Linked DNA regions of Mus musculus: regions 2, 3 and 4 are each reported to be linked to region 1. Evidence: microRNA targets listed by miRTarBase, many of them from high-throughput screens and not tested one by one. Region 1 holds a microRNA gene; each other region holds the end of a gene's coding sequence.
The links. The annotated mature microRNA mmu-miR-1943-5p reads AAGGGAGGAUCUGGGCACCUGGA and lies in region 1 at 2,018-2,040, opposite strand. An mRNA with a match to its seed (bases 2 to 7 or 8) in the 3' UTR can be bound and repressed. Matches are read on the target gene's strand: a 7mer-m8 pairs with bases 2 to 8, a 7mer-A1 pairs with bases 2 to 7 and ends in A, and an 8mer does both.

Region 1 (7,120 bases):
CAACAACAAGAATCTGAACTCTGAAGTGGGGTGCGCTCCCCTCCTTCACCAGGCCCGGCATAAGTCAAATCCTGGCTGCAAAGACCCAGGCAGGCAGGTGCCTGGCGCTTTGTCACCATTGGGTCCTCCTGGGCAGCCCCGTTTTCACACTGCGTAATGGCTGTGCGATGCACACTCGCCCTGGTCCTGGGGGAGGGAAGAACGTGCTAATGATAAGGGAGAACCTGGGGTAAGCTGTGAACGCCACACAAACTCTTGTAACAAAATATGTGGTAGGGAGCAGAGGACGCTGCATCTCCAACTCTGGCCCCCCAGTCTCTCAGGCTCTTAGCTCATCCCAAGCCCATCAGACACCAAACCCGCGGCGATCAGCTCACACCCCAGCCCCGTGGTCTATCCCAGCTCGGTGTGAACCACAGCCCTCATCAGATGGGTGCTGTATGGAGCCAGGGCATCCTAGGACAGGCACCCAGTATCTCTGAAACTCAGTCCTTGCCAGGTTGCTAACTAAACAATAAAATTTAAACAATTAAATAATTGTTTAACCTTAAAGAAAAATATCAAAGACACAAACAAGGAAAGGTCTCAGGCCCTGAGTCGGGGGTTCACGCCCACAAGGCCTCCCCCGGCACAGTGACCACTACTCTATCTTTAGTAAGGTTTTGGAACTTTGAGGTTGAAAGCAAGATCTTAAAAGCCTAAAAAAATATGCAAGCAGCTAGGCAGGGTCAGAATCCAGCTGACTCCCTAAAGGCAGCAGTAGGAGCAGTGAGAAGAAGCCTGCAGGACCCAGAGAACAATTTCCACCCTTGAGGTGTAGTCCCTTCCGAAAGATGTCAATCACAGAGCCATCCACTAAAGACACTTCAGGCTTCCTTACCAGCATCCCATGGGCAGCTTTCTCAGGAGCCTGGTAGAAGATGAGCCCCAACTAACAGAGAGAACAAACCACAAATGAAGGAGAAACAGGGACAGGTGACCCACACAGCACAGGGGAAGCCAACACAGGTCTAAGAATGATTGTGACTGGCAACCTGGGTGACAGCAGAGGTGGCCTTGAAAGCTGGCAGTGCTGAGTGCAGAGAGCCTGGTCAAAGCAAAGCCAGTGCTAACAGATTCACACAGGGCCGCCATTCGGAAAGCGGGACTGGTTATTTAAAACTCGGTTGTAGTGGTCAGGGATAAGTGAGGGATAAGCACAGAAAACCGAGCAAACCCCAAATTAAGACAAGTAGCAAAGCCCAGGTTTCTACACAGAAAGGACAGAGGGCTGCAAGCACCGCCCTCAGGAGTGGAGGCAGGAGTGCACGCACTGCATAAGGGGCTGCATAAGGACCTGCCCCAAACCAAAGGAAATGAAAGGAAAAGAGGAGGGGGCAGGGAGCGCAGTGCAAGGCTCAGCTCTGGGCAGCATTTAAACGCACATTCTAAACGCACACCTAGAGAAAACTGTAGTCTAGTTCCCCAGCATGGTGAGGATAAGAGACGTGTTTGTATGTGTGCCTGTGCGTGCATGTGTGTGTGCTTTTTTAGGTATGTTACAAGAGATCTAAGGGGAAATACAGAAGGGATAGGTGAGAGTGAGGGTCAGGTGCTGTGCTCTGTTTGTAAATGTCCTGGGAGATGACAGGCCAGAGACAACAGCGTTGCTAGGAGATGGATGGCAGACTTCCTGAGCTGGTGGTGGAGCTGGTTGGGGCAGGTGGGAGGAACAAAGGGGCTTCAGAAGTGCTGCTACTCTGGGGTGTTGTTGAGTGAGGACCGCCTGGTAGCTCCCCTCCTGTGTCCCCATGTACTACAGGTCCTATCTTCAGGGCCCTTAGACTACACAGGACACACAGACACCAACACACACACACACACACACACACACACACACACACACACACACACACAAACACAGACAAGGACACATATGCAGCAAGAAACAACTTTCTGTTTCTAAAAGAACCAGGGGAGCAGATGCTGGTCCTGGTGACTGGGAAGGGAGGAGCTGGCACCTGCAGGGAGGAGCTGGTCCAGGTGCCCAGATCCTCCCTTCCCAGCCAGAGGCTCCCCAGGGGTTTTCTGCTTTCAGGAATATCAAGCACAGTGGAACACCTGCCTCCCCATATTCTCTCCTGGAAGGAACCTTTTTGAGCACTGGCCAGGAGGACGGTACTGGGGAGTCAACTGCAGCCCCACAGAAGGGTTGGGCAGGGCCCCTCATTCCTCCAACACACACACACACACACACACACACACACACACACACACACACGGACTAGATTGGGGATGTATTTTTGTGCCTGCTTAGCCTCTAGAAAGTCCTGGGTTCCATGTCCAGCACCACATAAAACCAAGTATGGTAACATATACCTTTAATCCCAACACTTGGGAGGCAGAGGCAGGAGGATATCTGTGTTCGAGGTCAACCTGGTCTACAGAACAAGTTTCAGGACAGCCAGGGAGGGCTACACAGAGAAACCATGTTTCAGGGGCACGGGAGTTTGAGGCTAGGGCTGGAGAGATGGCTAAGCAGCTAAGAGCATGGGCTGATCTTCCAGAGCATCATCCTGGCTTTCAGTTCACAGAGCCTTCTTCTGGCCTCCTCAGGCACTACATACACACGGTGCCCAGACATACATACACACCAGCAAACATTCATACACATAAAAGGTAGACAGAGAGTCAAAGAATATAGGTCACACTGGGCAGTGGTGGCTCACGCCTTTAATCCCAGCACTTGGGAGGCAGAGGCAGGCAGATTTCTGAGTTCAAGGCCAGCCTGGTCTACAGAGTGAGTTCCAGGACAGCCAGGGCTATACAGAGGAACTCTGTCGTGAAAAACAAAAACAAAAACAAAAAAACAAAGGCTATAAGGTTACACCTCAATCCCAGAACTAAAGAGGTAGACATAGGCCGATCTCTATGAGCTCCAGGTCAGTCAGAGATATAGCATGAGACACTGATACCTGCTCCCTGCTCTCCCCACTAACCAAAAAGTCTGAGGCCAGCCCAGGCTACATGAGATCTTCTCTCAAAGGGGGAGGGGATAGTGCTGTCACGTGCCTGGCTCTGTTCCCACGGAGTGAAGCCTCCTCTCAGGGCTGTATCCACTGAAGGAACAGACAGTGCAGGGACAAGGATATGACATTGGTGAAGAGACAAGATGAGGGTCAGTCCCACTCGGGGCTGGAAAATCAGACCACGCCAGCTCCTAACACCGAGGAACTACCTACTGCTGAGCTGGGGTGGAGGCTGATGTGTCTCCTAAAGAGGTTGTGGTAGGGGACACAGAAATAAGGGGGAATGTGTCAGAAGGCGCTAAGGAGGGGGTGCCAGTCCTTTCCTTTGAGGCGTAACAGAGCATCACAGGGGGACACATGGGCTTGCAGGCCAGCTGTGTAAATCCTCCCCCAATACCCATGGTTCCTATCCATAGATGGATCATTTAGAAGTTGCCAACCAGGCTAGAGAAGCCAGAGATGAGAAATAAACGAATCAGAGGTAGAGCTCCTGCCTCGAGGCATCTGTGAAGGCGTCTTGGGATCCCCCAAACCAAACCATGTCTGTAAGCAGAGACTTGGGTTACATGTGGATGGTTACCCGTCCATTAGCGACAGATGGACAGCCAGGTGGGGAAGAGGGATCCAGATCTATCCTTGTGAGGTTGGTCCAGAGGCTCCTGAGAGACTGAGGAATGACGTGCCAGCCTCAGGTCCTAGAGATGAACGAGGGATGTGCACCCCCCTGGCCCCAAGGCCCCCACTCCCCAACCTTCCTCCCAAGCCCCGCTCCAAGGTGTGCTCACCCTCATAGCAGTCTCGGACGGTGCCGAAGTACACGTAGTACTGGTCATTGGTGAAGAAGAGGAGGCTGAGCCAGGAGTCGAAGGCGTAGATGGGCACGATGAAGAGGATGCGCACGATGTGGCGCTGCTCATTGGGACGGCTGTAGCAGCGCAGATGCATGTAGATCTGAGGGAGGGCACTAAGTCAGCCAAGTCCCACTACTACCACAGCTGCCTCCCACCTGCCTGTCTGCCCTCTTCCTCCTGCCTGCTCCATGGGAAGAGGATGGCTCCTGACATCTGTCTCTACCCTTCCTTGCTCTATGGGCTGATGCAAGTTACCCACCCTGAGCCTCAATCCTGCTCTGGAAAACTAGATGACAAACCTTCCATCGTGAGAGTCCAATCAAAGTGACCACATAAAGCCGGTGTGACACTATCTACAGGCCACCTTCAGCTACAGGGGACAGTAGGGCCACAGTGTTGTTGAAGTTGCGGTCCTCAATGTGTGCTCCTGTCATTCTGCCTCCCCAAAGCCAAGTTCCCAAGGTCTCACAGCAGCAGCAGCACTGAGTTAGCTGAAGGGCTGATCAAGGGCGAGTTGAAGCCACCTGGCTGTGGCCACTCTGCCTTGTCCCTTCACAGATGCTAGAGAGGGTGGGGTACTCGAGAGCCTCCCTCTGGAGGACCTGGACACACTTCCAGGCTGTGTGGCCATAGTGGTGTGCTCACACTATGCCCAATCCGCTGAACTAAGGCAGCACTGACTGCAATATCCCCAGGGAGGCAGGAGAAGGCAGTGCAACTCTGGGGAAGCAGAGCTAAGGGCGCAGCCCGACTCTCATGACATCACTCTTGGCCCAGCCCAGGCCAGCCCTGACTAAGGAAAAGGACAAAACATTTCCATCCGCTGTGAGCCAATTTCCTTGGCCACTAATGGATCTGAAAGAGACTGAGATGCACGGCAGCTGGTGAGGGGCTGCCAGGGGCCTGAGCAGACTCATCCAACCCTCTACATGGGAATCCAGCAAGCTCCTCCTTGGGCACCCAACCTCCCCTGAGGGCGAAAGGACAGGAAACAGGAGACCTGACTTCTCTTCCTGAGCTGCCACCAGCTCCTCAGCCACCTCCCTCAGGCTCCCAATAATGTCTAACTGCAACCGTTCCGTGGCTTCGGCTGCATATGTGCGTGGCCAGCAGATTCTGAGCAGGTCGTAGCAGACAAGCATCTGTGTGTCTCCTCACAATCCCGATGCTCCAGTTGCTACTGGACTGGAGGTGAATCCAAAGCCACCACCTGCTTGCAGGGGAGCTGGGGTGCGGGAGAGAACCCCAGGAAGCAGGGCTTACGCTCCTTGCCTGGCCGGCCTGAAGCATCCTTTGTGGAACTAGAAACCACTTGGGACACTAAGGATGTTCCCCCATCACACCAAGGTACCTGGTGGCAAGTGATGAGCAGAGCTGTCCACACAAAGAAGCCGGAGATGGCCTGGGCGGCAGTGGTCATCAGGAACACAGGGTGCTCCATGGCTGTGGGGCTGCCCTCGGGGGTGGCAGAGACGCTAGGTGAAGCTGTTGTGGTTGTGGGTGACGCTGGGTCTGGGGCCAGCGCGGCCCCCCTCACTGTCATGGTTCCCAGCAGCAGCAGGCTCCCTGAGAGGATCTCGTGCCGTGAGTGACGGGCTGGCCTAGGGAAGAAACGGGAATAAGCGAGCGAGCGGTGGTGTGCTGTGAACAACCCTTCCAGGTCTGCATCATGGGCCTAGCCATGCCCCTGCTCAGCCCTTGCCCTGGCATCTCTGGGCCAATACACAATGGCCTGTGATGTTCTGAGACCTTTGTCACCTCAATCTTCCATAGTAAGTTAGGAGGCCAGAACATGGCTGGGAAGCAGGGTACAGAAGAGTGCTGACCTACAACTGCTAACAACAGCTTGACCACTGCTACCCTGCCAGTCCCTAAGTACTGTTGCCACAAGCTGGAGTCCTCACGTGGCACACGGAACTGTCCCATGGGCCTCTTTTCACTCTCCTATTTTTTTTTCTTTCAAGATTTATTTATTTATTATATGTAAGTACACTGTAGCTGCCCTCAGACACTCCAGAAGAGGGCGTCAGATCTCATAACGGAGCATGCATGTGGTTGCTGGGATTTGAACTTGGGACCTTCGGAACAGCAGTCAGTGCTCTCAACCACTGAGCCATCTCGCCAGCCCCTTGTCACCCTCCTTTAGAGGCTATGTATAGCCTAGGCAGGCCTTGAGTTCAAATCCTCAGTGAGTGAGGATAAAAGGCCTGTGCTGCGCTGATGTGACAGAATGGCTTTTCTTGTGGTTGCTGCTGTTTGGTTTTTGTTCTTCTGAGACAGGCTTTCTCTGTGTAGCCCTGGCTGTCCTAGAACTCACTCTTTAGACCAGGCTGGCCTTGAACTCTCAGAAATCCGCCTGCCTCTGCCTCCCAAGTGCTGGGATTAAAGGTGTGCTCCACCACTGTCAGGCTTGGCAAAGCTGTTTTATTGCTATGGGAATCTACCTGAAGGGCCTGGCTTTTGAGATTTCTCTCAGACTTCCATAATGGCTAACAGTCACTCAATCCTTCGGGTCCCAGCTGTGCTATCTGGGACATAAAGTTATGGCTTATCTTCAAATTTCAAACTATAAAACCTAGGACTTCACACATGCCAGGAAAGTACTCTATCTCTGCCCCCGCCCCACCCCCACCTCAGAGAAATCATCTTCTAACTCAATGTAGGAATCCACTTTCCCAAAACCCTGCCCAGACACTTCCCCAACCGGATACTCCAGGCCATTTCACATGCCCTAGCTATTCTCTAAGGAACACAGGGTCTGCGTTCGGTCCACGGGTCTCTCTTCCTGCCTGCTCAGAGGCAGTAAGTCCCCTATTCTCATCTTTGAATCTCCAGCACCAAGTCCAGCAGCCAAGCGATCTCTAATGCTCAGCCTCATTACCAGCTTTCGATCTGCATCTCCAGAGATGGTGAGTGAGGTGGGCCACACAAGAGCATGGCAGAACTGAGGAACGTCAAGGGACTTTCCGGTGGGAAAGCGAAACCAAGGGAAGATGGCATCTCTGAGGAAACAAAGCCTTTCTATGTCTAGACAGAGCTAGGGTCCCATCTGAAATGGAGACGTCATCCTCACGCAGCCCAGAGGAGAGCTGCTGACAGGTACCCACCACATGTCTGAAAATTGGGGCAAGGCTGGGCCAGAGACTAGAGCTACTTTCCAAGAACAAAGCTTTCCAGGAGCATCAGAATGCTCTTAAGGAGTGTGGTGCCCCAGATTGACAGCCACAGTGACAGCATTAGGAGGGGGGTCTTTGGAAGGTC
Region 2 (7,120 bases), not on the chromosome of region 1:
AGCCCCAGCCACATAATTAAACTCAGTGTGTGTGGTTTCTTTTTTAAATAACTTTGATATAAAGTTGTGTGTGAAATTAGACAGGCCATCTCAGAGAACATGCTTATTTCTTTCTGGTATATTGTAATTAGTTTTCAGAAATTGAATTTGTGGTGTTTCCTCCATTTTCATAATCCATTGCAATTAAGACAGATGTCAGCCTCTTTTCTGCTTATGCTAGTATTTTCATGTCGTCCACTGCTGACCACTTTCTCTGTGTCTGTAGGTTTTTTCTGATGTATCTCATAAACAAGGATGAAACAGAACACACAGGACAGGTGGGTGAAGGCCAGTTATACACCATCATCAGGATGAAACTGTAGGAAAAGAGTGTAGATAAGACAGCAACATGTAGATATTCAACACTAAGGGAAAGAATTTACTTTCAGGGGCTCGAGAGGTGACTTGGTGTTTCCCAGCACTCACGGGGTAGCTTACAACCACCAGTGACACCAGCTCCAGGGATCCAATTCCTTTTCTGGCCCCCATGAGCCCTGTGCTCACCAGTGCATAACTACACAGACATACATATTTGATTTGAAAAAGAAAAAACATTGCTTTTAGATATTAATTATGCTACCTGGAGAGAGACAGCAAAATTCTAATTTCACATTTAAAACTAAGCTTTTAACTAAAAATACTAAGTTTCCTTGTGAATTCAATCTTTTTTCTTCTTTAAAGATTGTGGCTATTGTGTGGCTTATACTTTCAAATAAACTTCCACTTACAAAATTATAATTGGGAAAAAAACATTCAATGTCTATGTTTTTTTAGGAAAATTTGAAATTCCCCTTCTGGGTTACTCACTATAAATGGATAATAGTTTGAACTTGGATAAAATTAAAAATCATAATAAATGTAAACCTTAGAGACTTAAAAATATGTTGTTATCATATATTGGTCAAGCTAAAGACATTCTGTTTATTTGAAGATCATTTATTAGTGATGGTAATTTAAGTGGGGCTATCTGAATGCAATGGGACTTTTCTTGTTTTAATGATATATCAATGGGGTTGAATGACTTCTTCTACTCTGTCCTGTGTTATCTAATAGATTTTGGACACTGGGTTAACACACTTATTTTCTCTTTTTTACAGGAATCTTACGTCTGGAAGATGTACCAAGAGAGGTGTTGGGAATTTTTCCCAGCAGGGGACTGTTTCCGGAAACAGTATGAAGACCAGTTAAATTAGCATCATACCTTGATTGTCTCTGAAAACCAAAAGCAATCTCTCTCTCAATCTCTCTCTCTCTCTATCTCAGTCTCTCCTCTCTCTCTCTCTCTCTCTCTCTCTCTCTCTCTCTCTCTCTCTCTCTCTCCCCCTCCCTCCCTCCCTCCCTCCCTCTCCCCCCCCACCTTGGAAACACCTACTCATATTTTCCACTAACCAGCATCTTGTGCTGATGCACGGATGCTCAGTCTCAGAGGACCTGACTGTTCTCCCCCCACCTCATGTATCTTCATTGAGAAACAAAGACCGAAGAACAATCCAAATAAGCATTCAGACTAACCAGGAACTCTGGAAAGGAATTCATCATGGATACTCTACCATAACACCCATGGACAGCTTCCCCTGAAGGGTCATGGAGTCTCCACAAGCTGCCAGACCTGTGCAGCCAAGCACGGCAGTCACACTCACCCAGGCTCTTTATTTTGCCATCCCAGAAGGAAGTGTCTGAGGGTCATAGAGCACTGTAGCACTTAACAGGTTGCCATGCAAAGGGAAATAGTGCCTTACTATAAGTGGGTTGAGCTATGCAGAAGATAATGTGCATGACAAACACCTTTATTTTCTTTACATCAACCTTGTTTTCTTAGATAAAATGGTTTTGTGATTTTGGTTTCTTTCTTTTTTCTCCCCTTTTATTCTTTTCTTTGGTGGAGGAGGGTAAGAAAAGCTATCTGCGCTATTTTCAAAAGAAGGGTGGTGTGTCTCAGGACAGAAGGAGGCTCTTGTCATCCAGCTACGTCACATTTACCCTCCCCACTTTGGTAAAGACTCTGATGCTACATGGCAACTTATGAAATCTTTGTATGAAAAAAGAGACTGCAAAAATACAACTTTCAAAAGAAATAATTCATTGCATGTTTATTATGCAAGTTTAAATGAACAAAGAAAGCCCTCAGAAACAAGTTGATCCACATGGGAGAACTTTCGTGATAATTACATCCGTAGTAACAAAGCTGTGGGCTTCCTCATATTTCTGGAGTCAGTGTCATCCACCGACAGTTGGAACCATCGCCAATGTGACAGTAGTCTTGGGTTTTCCTCTTTCTTTTGGCCACCTGTGATCAGTCATTGGTTAAGGACGCCTTGACAGGCCATCTTTTGATATCCAAGCTGAAGCAATATCCATTCAGAGATTTCATTGGTTGCATCATAAGACATGGGTGACCATGTACATCGATTCATTTTATGTTTTTCTTTTTTCTTTTCTTTTTATCATTTTGAGTCCTTTTAAATGTAATTCTAATCTTTACAATTAAAAAAAGACAGGTTCAGAATGGAAGCGAGGTCATTCTGCGAACATTGGAGATCTTTTATTACAAGTCTGCTTGTTAATTTTAGAATTGTAAAACGGCTCTAATTAAACTATTTAACTAACTTCCTTGTTCTTCTCCTATGTCTTCCTATTTCACATATACCAGGAAATTATAGAATCCCATGCTTTTAATTCAGTTTAATTGTGTATAGGACAAACCCAGACACTTCACAGTCAGACAAACATAGCAGTATTTGTAACAGGAGAGCTGGGTTCACCAGGCACCTTGACCCTTTTCTATCTTATGGGGTAATTCAATGACAACTAACTCTCTTCCCACTTTTAAAATTTTCATACAACTTTCACTTTAAAGAACTCTTCCTTGCTCAGGCAAGTGAACTTTTCCATAATAATTACAACCCACTTAATATCTTAATAGGAAAGAGAAGTAGACCATAAATAAGTAGTTCATAAAACACAGAGATGATGCTAGATCATCAGGGCTATCAGTTATCATCTGTTCAATTATGTCTTATCACATCACCAGAGCTCCAGAACCTGGCTTTTGTGTTTCTCTTTTGGAGTCACTTTTATTTGAGGGAAGAGATAAATCTTGGCACACTGTAGATATTGCTACCAAGCCTTCTCAGAAATGGGACCTTATGTCATAAAGAGTCTGAGCCAGTAGATCTGGTCAGCTCTCTAACACATCAAAGAACATGAATCCCTGTACCATTCTTATTTGAGACAAATTTGGAAGTTAGATTCAGATCTTCTATTTATAATGCCCACATTGTGGTAGACACAAAACAATAGTAAAGGTAAGAAAAAAAGGAAATAAAGTCATAGATTTGTCAAGATCTGTGCACTTTACTGACTGACAGCTCCTCAGAGGTGATAGAAATATCAGGAAAAGAGACATTGGAATTGGTGAAATGAGGGTTCTGTTAGCCAATGGGTGTTGCAAACACATCAGTGTTGGAAGAAAAGTAAAAACACAGGTGGGCTATTTGTGCAAGTCATACCTGTCCAATCACTATTGACCAACACAGCAGGACATCACTGGGAGACCATCCAACAGAAGATGGTAAAATCACTATAGGGGTGCAATGCCTGTAATTTCAACACCATGGTGGAAGCCCAGGGCTGGCCTTACGCTACACAAGTGAGTTCAAGGTCAGCCTGTGATGGGGGAGACTGTCTAAAAGAGACAAAAGGAATTCAACCTTATCAGCATTATTTATTTGCCTAGGAAATATTCAGGGAATCTCAAACACAGTGTGACTCTACCTCTCTGATTCTCTAGGCTGCCTGAGGCGAACTCAGGAGATGTGATCCTGTGAGGTATTTTTCTCATCCCTATGATTGAGTACTGGACACGAAACAAATAATGGAAGAAAGGATTTATTCTGGTGTGGCTTGAGGGGTCCAGTCTATCAGGATAAGAAGGCATGGTGGCAATAGATCCATAGTGGTAGACGCTGTTATCTGGTTTGTTTATAGTTCAGCTGGTTGGGAAGCAGGAAAATCAACTCTGACTGCTATGGCTTTACATCTGCCAGCTGGATCCATGTTCAAAGGGTCCCACAGACTCTCAAAACTACAGGACCAGCTGTGGACCAAGGTTTCAAGCCTTTGGAGGACCATTTAAATTCAAAGCATGATAGTCATCCTCTCAGAAATATTTTATCTCACCCATTCAGACATTATCAGGAACACTATCATGGTCACCCTGGGTACTTACAAAGCTTCAACACATACAGAAATCATTAATTCTCATCTATTTTTTTCTTTCTGAAAATAATTTTCTCTATGATTCACAGAATGGATTCAGATGGATGGTTTTAGCAAAAGCTTTCCAAATGTGATAGCCCTCCTTAGATGCACACCTGGCAGTTTTTCCAAGGACAAGATACAGCTTGTTTTCATTCACAACCAGTTCCTAAACAGAGCCATCGCATCAAAGGCCCAAATGTAGCTCTGTAATTAGCCTGTTATCCTCTATCAACCAGGCCAGTGTGAACCACCACAGGCCCCTTCTGACCTTATAGACTTCCATGGGGAAGCAGAGTTAGGAAATGTTTAAGTAAATACCAGTGATGTCCACTGACGCTCACTCTGCCACTCTGGCTTTTCTGACAAGGGAACCCCCAGGGCATTCAGAATAACCAGCTTCAGTATGTACAGTTGAACACACTCTTTATGAACGAAGAGACAAAGTCTATTCTAACCCTGTGCTATAAGGGATGCCCGTTGGACAGTTTGCTTTGGTGTTGAGCCCATTTCTGTAGTGAAAATTTAGTTTTCAAAACTATCCATCAGTTATTTTACTGTTGGGGTTATACCATTTATCATAATTAGCATGATTCTTATAGTAGAACCAATTTAAATTTATCCTCAACTAGCTTAAAAATGAATGAGACTCAGACTATGGTTATTTTCTTTGGCTTTGACAATTACTAGGGTGCTCACTCCTAATCTATTTTTCTAACTGCTGGCTTAGCTACCTCACCTGCAGTGTACCCCCAAATACTTGCCGTTTCTCCTGGCCACGTGTTCATGGTACCACCTCTCCTCTCATAGTACCTCTACTCTCTCCTCCTCATTCTCTTCTCCCTTCTTCTCCACCCCCAAGCAGGTAACTCAAAATCCACCTACCTCAAATCCCTCTAGTAACTGGCCATATACATTTTTATTTAACCAATAGTTTTAAATTAAGGAACAAGGTTGCACAAAATTAGCTGGTAAATGTGAGAATTCACGTGTAGGTCTAGAACATAGCAACAGACCAAACCTCAACAGTTTTAGTTCATATTTTCTCAAAACTTTTGGACCACGTTACTAAGAAGATTTCATAAGGTCAAATAATTTGTTAAGATCAAATCACAGAGGTGTTTGATAGCAAAGAGTAAACTAATACTTGGCTTCCTTGCTCATGTCAGGAAGGGAGAATCACTTCCCCTCTGCTATGTTCTGTATTTCAAAGCCTGGAAATTAAACTGAGCTTTATTTACTACTAAACGTTTTAACTTGCCTATTCCACAAGCCGTGATAGGTGTACGTTGCTAATGTAATAAGACACAAAAAGAATATAATTGGTAGAAACATTGGAATGCAAAAAATGAAAAAAATGTATTAAGTAAGACTATATGTCTTACAAAATAAGATGTCCAGATTAAATACAAGAGTCAATGAGGTAACACAATAAAAAATAGTTTCCTTTACAATTATGGCTTATATTAAAAATTATGCACCACCTAAAAATAAGCAAAAAAAAAAAAAAAAGCTTACATGAAAATCATAAATTTTCCTCTGCTTCCCAAGTGCTGGGGTTAAAGGCGTGCGCCACCACTGCCCAGCACTGCCAGGGCTACACAGAGAAACCCTGTCTCCGACAAAAAAAAAAAAAAAAAAAAACAACAAAATCATAAGTTTTACTAGGCATATTCTTATTCACTTATGATCTTGATAGTTTACAGAAAAATGTGGGTCACTGCTGCTGCAGAGATAAAATCTCAGATGCCCATAAATTTTCTGAAAGTATTAAATTTTAGTATTTTGTTTCATAATCAATCAGAATTGTCCATGTATATTATCAGTTTCTTACTTGAAACTGAAAGGAAATTAAATAAAATAAAAGGTTTAAACTAAAAAGGCCTGGGACTGAGACTGCAAAGAAAACAAGCCCCGGCATGCCCGAGTCCGTCTTGAAACTAGGTCACCTGGTCGTAAAGATGAGGGAAGGAATGCAGGAACTGGTTCTGACTATCTTGGCTGACTCATTGACCCTCTGGCAGCCCGGCGCCTCCTGCTCGCCCCCCCTATCTATAGAGAGCATAGTTAAAAGCTGAAACATTAACCAGATGCATTGTCGACTCAGATAAGCCCCCAGCTTTTAGAATCCTTATACGCCCCAGCCTGTACATACTACTCTGCTGACTCATAATCATGTTGCTGATGTTTGAATGGGCAATCGTATGTAACCGCACCAATTCTTCCTAGCTCCTAAACCCTACCCTATAAAAACCCCGAATTTTTGAGTCTCAGGGTCGATTCCTCTGTCTCCTGCGTGAGATACGTATTGACCCGGAGCTCTGCCATTAAAGCTACCTCATGCTTTTGCAACAAGAAGGTCCCTCGTGTTTCTTTGGGTAACCCCATGTCCCGTGACTTGAGTGGGGGGGCTCCTTCTTGGGGTCCTACAAAACAGGAAGGGAGATATATTTCTAGGAGCCTGCAGAGGCTAAGGAGGAGAGGAGAATGAGAGAGAGAATGAAAACATCCTCTGGATGGACTTTCCTTCAGTCTCTGCTCCTTGGGATCCATCCCATCTGCAGACACCAAAGCCCAACACTTGTCTGAGAAGCTCCACCAGCATCTGACTAAGACAGATGCAGATACTCAGCCAACCATCAGACTGAGCCTGGGGACCCCAATGGAAGAGTTGGGGAAAGAACTGAAGGAGCTGAAGGGGATCGGAACCCTGTAGGAAGAACAATATCAACCAACCAGACCCCACAGAGCTCTCAGGGACTAAACCACCAACCAAAGAGTACACATGGAGTGACCCATGGCTCCAGATGCATATATAACAGAG
Region 3 (7,120 bases), not on the chromosome of region 1:
GAAGGAGTTACAGAGACGGAGTTTGGAGCTGAGATGAAAGGATGGACCATGTAGAGACTGCCATAGCCAGGGATCCACCCCATAATCAGCATCCAAACGCTGACACCATTGCATACACTAGCAAGATTTTATTGAAAGGACGCAGATGTAGCTGTCTCTTGTGAGACTATGCCGGGGCCCAGCAAACACAGAAGTGGATGCTCACAGTCAGCTAATGGATGGATCATAGGGCTCCCAATGGAGGAGCTAGAGAAAGTAGCCAAGGAGCTAAAGGGATCTGCAACCCTATAGGTGGAACAACATTATGAGCTAACCAGTACCCCGGAGCTCTTGACTCTAGCTGCATATATATCAAAAGATGGCCTAGTCGGCCATCACTGGAAAGAGAGGCCCATTGGACTTGCAAACTTTATATGCCCCAGTACAGGGGAATACCAGGGCCAAAAAGGGGGAGTGGGTGGGCAGGGGAGTGGGGGTGGGTGGATATGGGGGACTTTTGGTATAGCATTGGAAATGTAAATGAGTTAAATACCTAATAAAAAATGGAAAAAAAAATTATATGTTTACTGCAGTTTATATGGAAGTTCTCTTTTGAGTTTTCTGCAGAGCCTCTATATTGAATTTCACCCTCCCCACAAAGGATTCTCCTCAGCAATTGTCACTCGTTTTGTTTTTTTTTTTTTTTGTTTTTGTTTTTGTTTTTTCTTGTCACTGAGAGAAGGTGGTGCCTCTGTAATTTTCATGTGTTTTCCTAATGGACAAGGATTAAAACGCACCTCGTCTTAACTCTCAGATAATAACCAGTTTCCATCCTTCTGAAACAGATTCTTAGAATCAGAATTCCAGAGACCTCTTTCCCACTGTAGCAATTCTTCAAAGCACAATATTTATCCCCATGTTGAAACTACTTCCAAAAGTCAGTTATTAAAATTAATTATTGACTACAGGGCAGTTTCCCATCTTGAAAAAAAGCATTCATATTTGTATGCCAAATTGTCATTTTAAACTATTCACTGTGTCCCTGACCTCAATATTCAGTCCTACTTTTGTGTCTTCACTCACTGGGAGCTTCCATTTGGAGTGGTGGGTTCAACCATATAACAAAGACTGCAGCCTTCTTTCCCTTTGACTGAACCTCAGCTTCTCTCTCTCTCTCTCTCTCTCTCTCTCTCTGTGTGTGTGTGTGTGTGTGTGTGTGTGTGTGTGTGTGTGACTTTGATGAGTTTGGTCGATGATTTGTTCTCTGAGTCACCAGGATTCAGTAAGTGTTGTCTTCAGGGCCCCTCTCTTCATGCTAGGGAGCCCTATTGATTCTTTCTTTGGAGGACTCTCCCTAGATGCCATTTGGTTTTAAATCCTCCTAGGGCACCTCTACCTCCCAGTGTTTGCACTACTCTCTGATATATTTGCCCCTTTACAAAAAGTGTCCTGCCTTCTACTTAAAATCCCTTCTATGGGTCCCTATGGCCTGAAGAAAAGTTCATGTCTTTTGTCTTTTTTCTACTTAGTTTCCAAACAAATTCTCCATCCCACCCAGGCTCATCTTCCCGTGAATCCTACTGTCTGCATCCTTGCCTCACTCCATCCTCTGTTTCTCTGCTGCTGCCCCTCTTCTTACTCTCTCCTCCCACACTACTTCAAACCAAAATCCTCTTAACCTAGTCTGCCTATGTGTCTGTCTCTTCCTTCCTTCCTTCCTTCCTTCCTTCTTTCTCTCTTTCTCTCTTTCCTTTCCCTTCCTCCCTTCCTCCCTTCCTCCCTTCCTCCCTTCCTTCCTTCCTTCCTTCCTTCCTTCCTTCCTTCCTTCCTTCCTTTCTCTCTCTCTTTCTTTTTATCTTCCTTCCTTTCTTTCTCTTTTCTTTCTTTCTTTCTTTTCTTTCTTTCTCTCTTACTTTCTCTCTCTTTCTCTCTTTTTCTTTCTTCCTGCCTTCCTTTCCTTCTCTTCCTCCTCTTCCTCCTCCTCCTCCTCCTCTTCCTCCTCCTCCTCCTCCTCCCCCTCCCCCCTCCTCCTCCCCCTCCCTCCTCTTCTGGAATTATTCTATCTACTCTATTTGTTTGATGACTATTAACTGATTTTCTTGGATTGTTGCATGAACTTGTTTGTGTTCAAGTTGCCTTTTTGACTAGATTTTAATTGGTATGAAAACAATTTGTTTCTTATGTTTTTTTTTCTATTCTCTTTTGTAACCCACTCACGCTGCATACAATGATTGCTTAAAAATGCCTCATTTAGATGTCATTAAAACAAAAGGTTGTGTCTTATATACAGACAATTTGTCATACTGTAACTAGTACTGTAGATGCTAAAAGTATTGGTAAAATTGCTACATTTTTACCAGAAGTTCTATCCTGATCTTCACATTATAAATACAGATATTCCTTCTTCCTCCCACTATTTTTGCTTCAGAATTAAAATAGATTGTTTTCCTTTTATAGAAAAACTTGTTTCTCACAATGTGGCTTTTCTAATCTCTTTATTGTCACCCACCCATGCCGTGCACAATGATTGCTTAAAATACTTAATTTTTATGTCATTAAAACCAAGGGTTGGGGATGACACTCTGATAGGAAATTATTTTGCTTATAAATCATTCTTACTGTCATGTTTCTCAGTGTCTTCTTGAATCTAAGCAGTTCTGCCTTTTGGGAAGTTGAAAGCGAAAATAATCATCTGAGTCCAGTGTATTATAACAAAAGACATTGTATTATCACTCTTTCATTTTATTGAAAAGAAATCATTTCTATTCTAGCACAAACAATGTATATTTTACATCATAAAGCAAGATATAATTTACATATTACATTTCTTATGAGATCTTTATTACCATATGCCATTCCCTTTTTTGTAATTAGGTCATTACTTCTGGTTTAATTTAACCTCCCACGTGCTGAACTAATTGGCCTCTTCTTTGGTAAGGGAGTGTGGACATTGATAGTTCTAATGCCTTCATCTGGGTATATTGATGGAGCGCAGTAGCTATATGCCTTGAGTCTGACACTGAGACTCTCCTCTGGTAATTGACTTACAAGCTAGATATCTAACCCTCCAAACCACTTGTTAAACTTATATTCTTTCACAAAGTTTACCACAAATGAACAAAATTGAGCGTCAGTGCTTCAGGTGTATTTCCTGGTACGTGCTCAGATAAAGCTGCTGTGCTGTGGGTCTACCAGCTGCAGACATTCCTATGATTAACTAGCAGGGGTTATTCTGTGAAATTCCGCGAAGCTGCTTGTACGAAGCATCAGACACAACATCCCACTTCCTCCTTTGAGTTTATGGGATCAGGTTTGTTTGACGTCCACTGGAAATGGATGCCAGGATGAAGGTTTCAGATGACTTCCAACAACTGCCTTCCAAGATTCTGCTCTCCTTAGAAAACACTTTTCATTTATAATTTCTCTTCCTTGCCTATAATCCAAATATTTAAGCTATTCTCTACAAACGCTAAATTCCCGGTTTACCAGTCTCTTGGACCTGTACTCACTTACAAATCAAAAAACATTTTTACAATAAGGATGTACTGGTTTTTTTGAAATGTGATAACACGCAGCAATCGATGGGACAAATACATGAGTGGAGATAAAAACAAGTAATGTATATTAAGCCAGACCACATAAACTATTCTGAAAGAAATGCTTTAATAGTAGTTGTTGAGAAGGAATCACTTCATGAGATCAAAGTACACAAGATGATCTTCCTTCTTATTACTGAACAAAGTACAAAATCACTTGAAATATATTTTCAGATGGGTGCCTGTTAGACTGGGGAAAAAAAATCACCATTAACACAGCCAGATATGCCAAGGGAAGAACAAGTATGTGCTAAAAGTGAATCTTATACGCCAAATACTTTGACTGACACGCATATTGCAATGTTGACATATTTGGCCAAAATCACTCTGAAGATTTTCATTCACTGAGAACTATGGTTAATAAAATCGAGCTGTTGATGAAAATATAAGTTAAAAAATATCTCTATACTTTGTGCCTTAAATTATTCTTTGGTCAAATGATGTTATTGTTGAGATATTTGAAAATATAAACCTATTTATCATTTCCAAATAGAAGGTTATATTTATGTACAGTCAGATACCATTTCCTTACTAGAAAACAAAGCTTTCAAATACCGTGTTAATCCATGAATATTGTATGCTCTTAATGTCCCTTCTCCTTTCACGGCTACAAAGTGCTGGACAAACCAGGAACAAGGAAGGAAGGAAGGAAGGAAGGAAGGAAGGAAGGAAGGAAGGAAAGGGAGGGAGGGAGGGAAGAGGAGAGAGAGAGAGAGAGAGAGAGAGAGAGAGAGAGAGAGAGAAAACAAATGGATGTAGCCTCACAACATCCCTGTGAGGTAGGAATTGTTAAACCATTTTATAAACAGGTAAACTAGACACAGCATGGCAACGTGGTTTGGTCAAGTTCACCAGGAAAATTGCCAAAGCAAAGCTGGGAACAAAGAGAAACAAAGAAATACCAGCTCTGCCTCCCACCCTCGATGCTAAACCTCATTTCAAAACAACTAAAATGTAAGAGTATGATTGTATTTAATTTTTAAAATTTAAGCAAGGCTTTAAACACTTCACTTCAACATATTGTCTTTCATATTCCTATGAAGTAGAGAAAGAGTGCTGTCTTCCCTCACCCTTCCAACTGTATTTCTCATGATAAGTCAGATGATATAGACTTTACACTCAAGATCAGAGTCCAAACTCAAGGTCAACTCTATAGCATCAAATAATTCCTAATTTTATTAAAGCCCTAACATAAAAATGGAAGCTGTTCTCAAACAGCTGCCTGGCTAATTGCTCTCTGACCTTAATGAGGATTTTATATAGACTATGAAAACAAGATGCCGCATTAACATATAATTATTGTGTAAATAAGGGCAGTGGTGATGGCAGAGAGTTTGCTTTTATAGTTTTTGAGAAACTGCAAACTCAAGCTTTCAATATTTTATATATAATATATATAAATATATACAGCATATATATGTATATATAAAAGTGTGCATCTGACCACCTCTAAGGCACCAAAGAAATATAGACTATGCCTTTCACAACTCAGTATTTTTCTTCCTACAAAATTTTTTTCCATCTCTAAAACTGAAAGGATTTCTTCTACCAAAGAACAAGTGAAACAATTGTTTAAAAACGATGAGTATCTTTAACTTAGGATCTTTTATTGTTTGGGTTGGGTAAGGGGTAGGGTTAACGGTGACATCATAACCTAGAGCTTAGAGCTTAGAGTACACCAGACATGACCAACCACATTGATCAGACTGGTCAGTGACCAGAACATGCGTACATTTATTTTTTTCCTGTCACTGATAGAAAAACCTTACCATGACCAACATGGACACAATAATACAGATTCTTCAGAAAGACTTTGGATTTTCAAAAATCTCCTAGAGAGACTTGGAAGGAGACAGAGTAAGGCACTGAAGTCAAGCAGGTTACCGAGAAGTGATCTTTCTCATATATATATTTCTTTGGCTGCTGGAGATTTCTTTTATTCTCATACAATTATAGGAATGGGTGGGCTGAGCCTAACAGAAGAAGCCTGGAGTATAATTAGCTAAGCATGGATAGAAGGAAAACAAAATACACACACAAAAGCAAATGGTGATGGTAGGTATCCGAGAGCAAGAAGAAACATTTGTTAACTAATTTTCATTTTGTTCCTCTCCTGCTTTGCTCCGCCATGGTCCCAATATTTTAGTTCTGGCTTTGTTTGTTTGCTTTTATTTTTTTTTCCCCGGCGGATGAAGATATGACAGAACAGGATAGGTGTCTTATGGTTTTTGATTTCTTCTTAGGCCTGTTTAATTATTTTTTTTTCCTCAGTTGACTGTTGGCACCTGGTTCCTCTGTAAACTATATTCCTTGGCCTTCAGTCTCAGGTTGGCAATGCTGTTGGCCATGTTGATACCCTGTGCAGGGCTATTGTTGGCACATGTGGCAGAATAAGTAGCCATGGCGCTGTAGGGACAAAGGAGAGAGCAGGGAGAATAACAGACATTAGTTTCATGAAGCTGTAAGACCATGCCCTGGATGGATATACTCTCAGGACAGAGGCAGGCAGGGCAGTGGGGTAAAGAGAGGACCTTCGGGGTCTCTTACAGCTCCAGTTTTCAATTAGTTTAAGGTCCTTGGAAAAGGGTGTCCATCTTTTTACAGGGCATGGGGAAGCAGACAAGAATGAGACAGGGTAGGGAAAGGTTTTTGCTGTGTTGGATACAGTGAGTAATGATTTATTTCAGGGGTAAGAGGAGACTGCTCATGTCAAATAGCAGGAGTTTCATCAGCTAGTTCAGAGTCTAATCTTTCCTACCTATACCAGATAACCTGTGAAACCATCGAAGGAAAATGGCAAGCATTTGACAGTGGATAAAAAGAATTTTGCTTCTTCATTCTAGGAAATTGACCTGGACTCCAATGTATTTTGGATAATCAATAATACTATAGAAAATGATTATAGATTATAGAAATGGTTATATGTGCTTATAGAATTATTAAACAACCCATCATATTCCTCTGGCATTGTGATTCATTGGATGATTGTAACAAGCATTGTCAAGTCAAGGCTTTCCTATCAGTGGGTTTTGTTTTTAATAACTTTTCAAAGGTATTTGACTAGCACACATTACCTTTGGGGACAGTCATTTTGGAAATATTAAAATTTCAAAATAAACTTCCCAAGTTATAGTTTTACCATTCTTGATCTCAGATGTAACTGTTCCTCACTATTTGTGTTGTTTGGAGAAACAAGAAGCTAGATGATTGTCAGAAACTATAACTAGGACATAGGCAAGAATTCATTATTACTGGGGTTCTATTCGTTCCATACATGAATCTCTTTTAATGGAAAAAATGGTGTGTAAATGTGGATGCAAATAATCTTTTACCTTATGTGAAATAGTTAAAAGGAAACTTTGAAATAAATAGAATGATTCTAGCTGTTTCTAAGATTAGTAAAATTTCTTCCAACAGAGAGCTGGGATAGGGCTTATAAATGGAATGACATATTCAGTTCTGGTGCCTGCATTCCAATGGGATTTTGTCAGTGACACTGGAGTTTGTAGTTCTGGGATCAGATGACAAGATCAGAAAGAAGGAAA
Region 4 (7,120 bases), not on the chromosome of region 1:
CAGATGGGGTTTCTGCTCGCTTTCCCAAGTCCCTTCAATAAACCCGTTTTATCCTGTGATGAAAGGAGGCCTTCTGAGGAAGTGTTGTCGGCTGAAAGAAATGATCCTGAGACCCATTGAGACCATGAATACCAATAAATGATAATGTGGTGGTGTCTTAGGGCCTAAGAGACTTGAGAGCAATTTGCATCTTAGTGACAGAATCATTGTAATATTTATATCTTGGTTACTATTTAATATCCTTTGTGCTATGAAGCTTTCCCGTGGCTTTTGTATATGTATTTCCTTGTACTATTTAACTAGCTCCCGTAGAGCCAGAAGTGGCTTGTACATGCTCTCATAGCGTGATGAACAGGCCCCTCACCTTTACAGCCAGTGTGGTGAGCACAAGCCATGAAGACAATATGGCTGTCTATAAGTGAAAGCAGAGACACCTGTATCTTTCCTGTTGTGCCTCTGTGCAAACAGAAGGTAATAGATTTGAGGTTTGTACAGCAACCCTGTGAATTGAAAAAGGCATATTTTTGTGTTTATTAAGCCCCCTGTGGACCAGTGCCGCTTGCTTAGGTTTGGAGCATTGTACGTGAGCCTTCACCGTCTCCATTTCCTGAGGAGATGGCTTCACTTTCTTGGGTGGAGAAAACATGGCAAGACATGCAGTTGTTGGGGACATGTGGTGTGTTCGTGGAGACATGGGGTTGACACCCTCTGGCACTTGGTAGTCTTGATGGATATTAACTTGTCTTCGGAGAAAGTGTATTTTGGCCCTGTTGATCTCGACTGAATGCCAGGTACCAGTCTTCTCTACCTTCCCTGCCAAAGGCTCAGAGGGTAAGACTGCAGTCAAGAAAACCTAAAGATATGTATTGGCTCCTAGAAAGGGCAAACACAGTGAGGTAGTGAATTCTTTTCAGAGAAGTTCTGCTTAAGGAGATAGCCATGTAATGCAGATTGCTTTTGTCTACAGACAAAGCAAGAATGCAGTAAGCTGCCTACATCCTTCTTAGCAATATGCTAAAACAGCAGTGTGGGCAGAGCCTGGGCATAGCAGAGCCAGCAAGGATGGACTACCCTCTGAGCACTCTCTGAGAACTTCTCACTGAGAGGGACCCTAGGGCCCTTCTAGGACTCTTGGCAGGAAGACTTACGGGCAGACCTGGTATGCCTTGTCCTCCACCCTGGCTGGATGCTTCTGGAGAGAATTTCATGATTCAGTTGAAAACATTTCTTTTTCTTTCAAGTTTCCTTTATCTTTGAAGTTTTTCTATTGGTTCAGTCAGTCTTAGAAGAAATGAAGGCCTAACTCTCTTGTCCCTGCATGTATGTGAATTCTTGCTGTGAATGAGTCTTGGCTAGCCTTGTTTGTGACCTTGTGGATTTGCATGTACTGTTTGGAGGAGATCTCTTGCCTATCTAAGAGGTGGCCTGAGGATTCGTCCCCGCCCATGTCAGAGTCTCTGTGGGTCAGTCGGAGGAGCGTGGAGACTTGTGTCCATCCTTGTAGTGATGGAGGTGGTGCCAGTGATGACAGCATCTGTGTTCAGAGCACACAAAAGTCCCATGCTTAGTGTGCTCCTGCCGAACTGTCTTTTTCTGAAGATGTCCTCTACATAGCAATAGTGACATTAAACAGGTAACAGCAGGGGTTGGGGGGGTGGGGCGCATACACTTTCTATGTAGAGAATTGTTGACTGATCCTCATGAGCTGAAAAAAAAAAAAGCTGCTTCTAGTGTGTGAGGTTTCCGGGTACCTTTTAGTTCCTCATAAAGTTGCAGACTCTGAGGTGCCTCTTGCTGTCTGCTTTTGTCAGCACCAGCCCCATAGTAGGGCTAGCTAGGCACAGAGTCTAGTTTGGTGGACACATGAAATTTGCATGACCGAGGCCTGGGGGTGGTGGGGGAGGCTCCAGCGGCAGCAGTGGGTTGGCATAGATAGCGTTTGATATGTTCATAACCCCTGCTGACCTGGAAGCGTGTCCTTAACCTCCCCCTCTTCAGAAGAGTGAGGTCTTTCGTGCTCCTGAAAGGACTAGAGCAGGTGACAGGCTGCCTCAGGTGATGCTGACGTAGCAGACCCCTTTTCTGGGCTTCGTTAGCTTTTCTGACTCCTTAAAACCTATTGTTTCTCTCTTCTCAGCAGACATCTTTAAAATAACCAGTTCTGTCTGGTTGAGAAAATTTGGAATGTCTGACCTATCAATGTTTATGTAGACATCGTCTCTGAAAGACAATAGCATCAGTGTTAGATCTAGAATTTTCTTCCAAAAGATAATGTTCTATTTGATTTCATGCTGGTCAGTATAGCATTGGATATAAGTTCTTAGGCTTTGGGACTCCCCCCCCACTCCATTCTAGTTTCCTCCTAAGAGTAAAGGGGTGGAGGGACCCAAGCCCATTGAGTTCAAAGCCATCTCACAGAATCAAATTTAGACCATAGGTTCTTGAACAGTGTATTGTGTCATTAGTTTACCTCATCTCCCTCTTTATTCTGATACTCTAAGTCAAGTGAGCCTTTGGTTAGTGGTTAGTATCACTTGGACTGTGGCGAGCTAGCAGAACTTGTTTGGCTGTGATTATGGTAAGAACGTGTCTGAAGCCACTTCAGGGGTAAAAGGTTTGTTTTCTTTCATAATTGCATCTGGTACCCAGCAGGAAGTACCTGGCCCCTCCTTGTTCGTCAGAATAGCTACCCAAGGAATCTGCCTGGAGAAAGGTCAGTGAAGGAAGACTCGTGGTCACCCCAGCCCAGGGCAGGGCAGGGCGGGCCTGCCCGATGCTGCCGGACGACTCATGGTCACCCCAGCCCAGGGCAGGGCAGGGCGGGCCTGCCCGATGCTGCCGGACGCTGCCTTCCTCCACTAACCGGGCGTTGCTTCAGTTCTTTCAGAACTGATTTAGCAAGTTCCAGAACCCTGTCCCCTTTCCATGGCACTGAAGGGTACAGTGATTCAGGGCTTAAAGAATTGGCTAGGTCAAGGGGCAGAGAGGGCAAGAGCAAGGCGTATTGTAACCCAGGCCTACCTGTTCCAACTCTTTCATAACTTGTTTATGAAAAACAATTGTTTTCATTCATATATAACTTATTTAAAAACTAATTCAAATAATAATGAAATTGACCCATTTGCCTAAAATCATTGCTTTTTGATAACTTGGTTTTGATGTGGTTCCATGTGGAAGAACGCTAGGGAGCAAAGCTGTCTGTGTATGCTGACGTTCGTAGGAGATTAGGAACCCATGGAGAAACACTAAGCTATTTATTTGTCTGTCTGTCTTTTTTTTCTTTCTAAGTAGGCAGTTCTTTTTCTGTATATTTTGTCAGATAACCACTTCACCTTTGGTGCCTTCCATGTGTCACATAAGCACTCTTGTCAATCATGGAATTGGGGCGGGGATGTACATTTAGTTAACAGATAACACTATTTTTGTAGCATGATTGTGTCCTTTCAATATTGCTTTCCACAGTATCGGTCCTGACGTTTGGGCCATTTCCTCTTAAACTTCCTATGTATTTTTCAAAACGACCCCCTCTGGCAAGTCCTGTCCCTTGCACTGTGTTCTTCCCACACTGCACTTCTGCTGGTTTAGTCTGAGAAGTAAGTCAGAGGATAGTTCTGAAAAAAGTCTCGTTCTTGTAATTCTGTTTGACACTGTTTGACTGTTTGTTAGACTGGAAGAACTGTTGCTCACCAACAGTGAGAAGAAAGTGGTCTCATTTTTCACAAGTTTCAACCATGTGCCACCTTCCTGCTTGCTGGGTCTAGTGAGCGCTTGCATTTGGCTCCTGGCCCTCCCACCCTAGCCAGTCAGTCCCGGCTGTTGTCTGCCCTGTCTCCTAGGATAGATAGGCTAAGTGCCGCTGTGTCCTGGCAGCACCCCAGACTTGCTCTGGGATTTGCCCCACTTGGATTTAGGTGACACTGTGGCTGCCGCTGGTGGGTTTCTGGGTAGCCTGAGTGCAGTAGGTCCTGTGCTGTGGAGGGCTAGGGAAAGCCAGGGCACAGGATAACCTAGCCACCGTTCTGTTTTCCTGACCCTGCACCATGGAGTTGTCTGGTCAGGAAAAACTCACTGAGCCATTGCTGAGTAAAGGTACGGCTCCTCTGAGGTAGGAACTTGTAGCTCTGTGATTTTTGTCCTTTGAAGAGTCAAAACGTAATTCTGTGACAACACAAGTTATTATGTGGCCAAATGACAGCTTTCTGCCAGGACTGGCCACTGCCACTCCATTTAATAGTGGCACTCTTGGGAGACAATGTTAATAGTTACCACATTTTGTTTCTTGAGTTTGGTTTTCTTTGAGGCAGGGTCTTGCTAGGTAGTCCTGTCTGACCTCTAACTTATAGCAATCCCCCTGTTTCTTCCTCCTAAATGCTGGGATAGCACACAGAAGTGGACCACCATGTCTAGCTAAAGTTGTTTGGCATGGGAATTCCAAGGTGAGGGCCGTTTAAGAACCTTGAATTTGTGTTGTTTGCAGTACTGAGTTTCCCATCTGGGCCCATCTGACATTGTCGCCATGGATGGACCTCCCCTGACCCCCAGGCTGGACCCTGTGCACTGCAAATGATGTGGGAGCCATGGATGGCATTTGCCCCGTTGATTTGCTAGACAGCAGGCAAAGCCTCACCCTGCCCTCAGCCTCTCCACTTTCCTTTGAAGGACCAATTTTTCATGGTACTTGTCTTGATTGTTTTCATATTGTTCAAATCTGTATTTTTGTATGTAGAGGGAAATACTTTTCTCAATACTAATCACTAATGAATACTGTATTGTCAAGAAGGAGTTCTTGTTTAATAAATGGACATATTAAAAAAACAAACAAACAAAAGCGCTTTAGTCTTTTCTTTCTCTCCCAGAGGCTTTGGGTCCCACTTTTGCAGCAGGCTTGCCCTGTGGGTCGAGCTGGAGCACAGTCAGCAGGCTGTAAGCGGCTGGAGAAGGAAGGACCAGCCTGCTAGGCTGTGTGGCACTGCACAGCCCCTCTGCCTCTGCGCATCCGACTGCCCGCCTGTTTTCAGTGCGTGTTCAGTGACAATGACCAGAATGTCCTCGTAGCCACTGCTCTGAGGTCCCTTGCTCAACTAGTTTCTAAACCCTGGAGCCCCACGTTGTGGCTGTTGCAGAACGCCATCTTAATGAGAATGTATGCTTACCCTTTAGTGCCTCGACCGTGGGGTTGAGTAAAGGCACCAGCAGTGTCACCCGCCACCCTGATACCCAGCACAGTAAGTGCTTTCTCACAACTGAGTTCAGAGCTGTCAGCACTCCTGTGCTTGCTTGTATGGAAACGGGCACACAGTGTGTCTGCAGGCAGTGGTGAGTTCTTAGTCAGGCGCACTCCAAGCATGTAGTCAGTTTGTTTTAATCCATTGTGACTTTTTTTTTTAAAGGGAGGGAATTCACATGCAAGATAAAAAGGTTACAAATGCCCAAGACATGGGCCCTTATTCATGGGGCCTCTTAGGTTACAGAAAAGACCATTTGTTACATTGTTTTTGTATTAAAAAAATATAAAAAAGTTAGAAAACACCATCAAAGACACACACAGTAACCGCCCCCAAGGGACTACAGAGAAGTCCATGTCACCAGTGGTCCTGCCCAGGTGTCCAGAGGAAGCACTTTGTCTTTTAGGGTCCCCAGGAAGAGAGTGCTTGGCTGGGCCTGCCCAGCCACTTGTGACTTGGTCACTGCCACTATACTGGTTGGCTCCCTGTCTCTGGGCCCTAGTAAACAAATCTTTGGGTCCGTTTCTGAAAAGGCCTCAGACCTCTAATGGAAGACTTGGCTAGCTAGGTTTCTCCCTATTTCACAGTGAGGAGGGAAACTTCTTGAATAAAAGGTTCCTGAAAGTCATCTCAATGCAGTGCAGGTTTGGGGCTGGTGGTCCAGCCTGCTGTGGTTTTATCTGTCCCTGTTAGTAACAGAAAGTCCCACCCCACCCCCATGCTGCCACATGATTGGCTGTAGTGATTGGCTCCGTTTGATGTGTGCTTCGGTGGGGGCAGTGAGGTTAAAGGGGCTCAAGGACAGAAAGGGGAGAAGGAAGGCTTGTCAACGTGCCCTACCACGCTAGCTCAGCAGTGCCAAGCCAGCACAGCCAATTTTGAATGTGAGGCCTCGGGAGTGTAATCTTGAGAGACGGGCTCCTCGGTCTGTTCTCCCATGGGCATTCCTGCCATGCTCCAGGAGCCCCGTCAGGACAGCGTGGGTGAGAGGGCCGAGTGGCTCTAGTTGTTAAGCTCAGACAGGCCTTTAGTCAGAGTCTGAGTCCGAGTTGGAGTTCTCTTCTGAAAGGAAAGCAGAGGGTGCGGTTATCAGTCCTTGGGCTGTGGAGTAGTGGTGGTGGTACCAGCAGCCAGCCAGCCAACAGGAGACCTGGGTCCGGCCTCTCCCATCCTAGTGGCAGGCTGGGCCTTGGGGCACACATAGGGTAGATCAGGCCCTTCTACTTAGCTCACAGCACAGATGCTTCCTTCCCAGGTGGCCCAGGCATTCCCAGGCATCCCCTCTCCCCTGAGGATGGCAGAGTTGTACACTGACACCCCTTTCTCCACTCTTATTCAGGAGGACAAGGCAAAGACAGTAATTCTTATCCCTGAACTGAAATACACAGAACCATAGGGCAAGCGAAGCTATTTTATGGGTTTGGCTATGTATAAGGATGATTCTGGCATTGTCTGCCTCACGAGGCAAAGCACTGCACTCTAATGCCTGTCCCCAGTGCTATGGCTGTTTTCTGATACTTGTCCTGTCCCTTGCCGAGCCCTGGTTCTTCCCCCCTTATCCATTAGCCAGGGAGGTACAAGTAGGATAGGCTTGCTATATTCATATTTAACATATAGGCCAAGGATCCTTCTATTGCAAAACAACTATTTTACATTAAAACCATACAATATTCAAAATGTATGTTCATGGACATTTATGCTCTGGTCTCTGAGCTGGCTGACCAACATTTGCTACAAAGGCTTGAAGGCAGACAGCATCCAGGAGCATTTAACTAACAGACCAGAAATGAGTCTGGGATGGTATTCATTTTTTAGCACTGAGACAGTGTCTGGGACTCCCGGTGGGAAGCTGGTGGCCCCTAAATCTAACCAACTAGGTCCTACTTCAGTCATTT

Region 2: the mRNA of Ryr2 is a reported target of mmu-miR-1943-5p. Seed matches in the 3' UTR shown: 7mer-m8 at 1,362-1,368, 7mer-m8 at 1,366-1,372, 7mer-m8 at 1,370-1,376, 7mer-m8 at 1,374-1,380 and 7mer-m8 at 1,378-1,384.
Region 3: the mRNA of Prrx1 is a reported target of mmu-miR-1943-5p. Seed matches in the 3' UTR shown: 7mer-m8 at 4,264-4,270, 7mer-m8 at 4,260-4,266 and 7mer-m8 at 4,256-4,262.
Region 4: the mRNA of Cmtm3 is a reported target of mmu-miR-1943-5p. Seed matches in the 3' UTR shown: 7mer-m8 at 5,389-5,395.

The regions. Positions count from the first base shown.
Region 1 is chr15:79,373,254-79,380,373 of GRCm38, forward strand. Mir1943 (microRNA 1943) reads right to left here and starts at 2,047; the gene lies at 1,975-2,047. Tmem184b (transmembrane protein 184b) reads right to left here. Exons shown (of 9, transcript NM_172608.1): 2 at 5,211-5,460; 3 at 3,794-3,959. The coding sequence starts at 5,402. It overlaps Gm52190 (a long non-coding RNA gene), which reads left to right and starts at 5,443. Exons shown (of 2, transcript XR_003951550.1): 1 at 5,443-7,120.
Region 2 is chr13:11,548,628-11,555,747 of GRCm38, reverse strand. Ryr2 (ryanodine receptor 2, cardiac) reads left to right here. Exons shown (of 105, transcript NM_023868.2): 104 at 266-317; 105 at 1,137-2,645. The coding sequence ends at 1,232. Among named protein-coding and RNA genes, the nearest start is that of Ryr2, 550 kb to the left of the region's middle.
Region 3 is chr1:163,242,416-163,249,535 of GRCm38, forward strand. Prrx1 (paired related homeobox 1) reads right to left here. Exons shown (of 4, transcript NM_011127.2): 4 at 2,704-5,981. The coding sequence ends at 5,843. Among named protein-coding and RNA genes, the nearest start is that of Gm20471, 34 kb to the right of the region's middle.
Region 4 is chr8:104,345,899-104,353,018 of GRCm38, reverse strand. It overlaps Cmtm3 (CKLF-like MARVEL transmembrane domain containing 3), which reads right to left. Exons shown (of 5, transcript NM_024217.3): 5 at 5,347-6,287. The coding sequence ends at 6,253. It overlaps Cmtm4 (CKLF-like MARVEL transmembrane domain containing 4), which reads left to right. Exons shown (of 4, transcript NM_153582.5): 4 at 1-4,828. Among named protein-coding and RNA genes, the nearest start is that of Cmtm3, 8.9 kb to the right of the region's middle.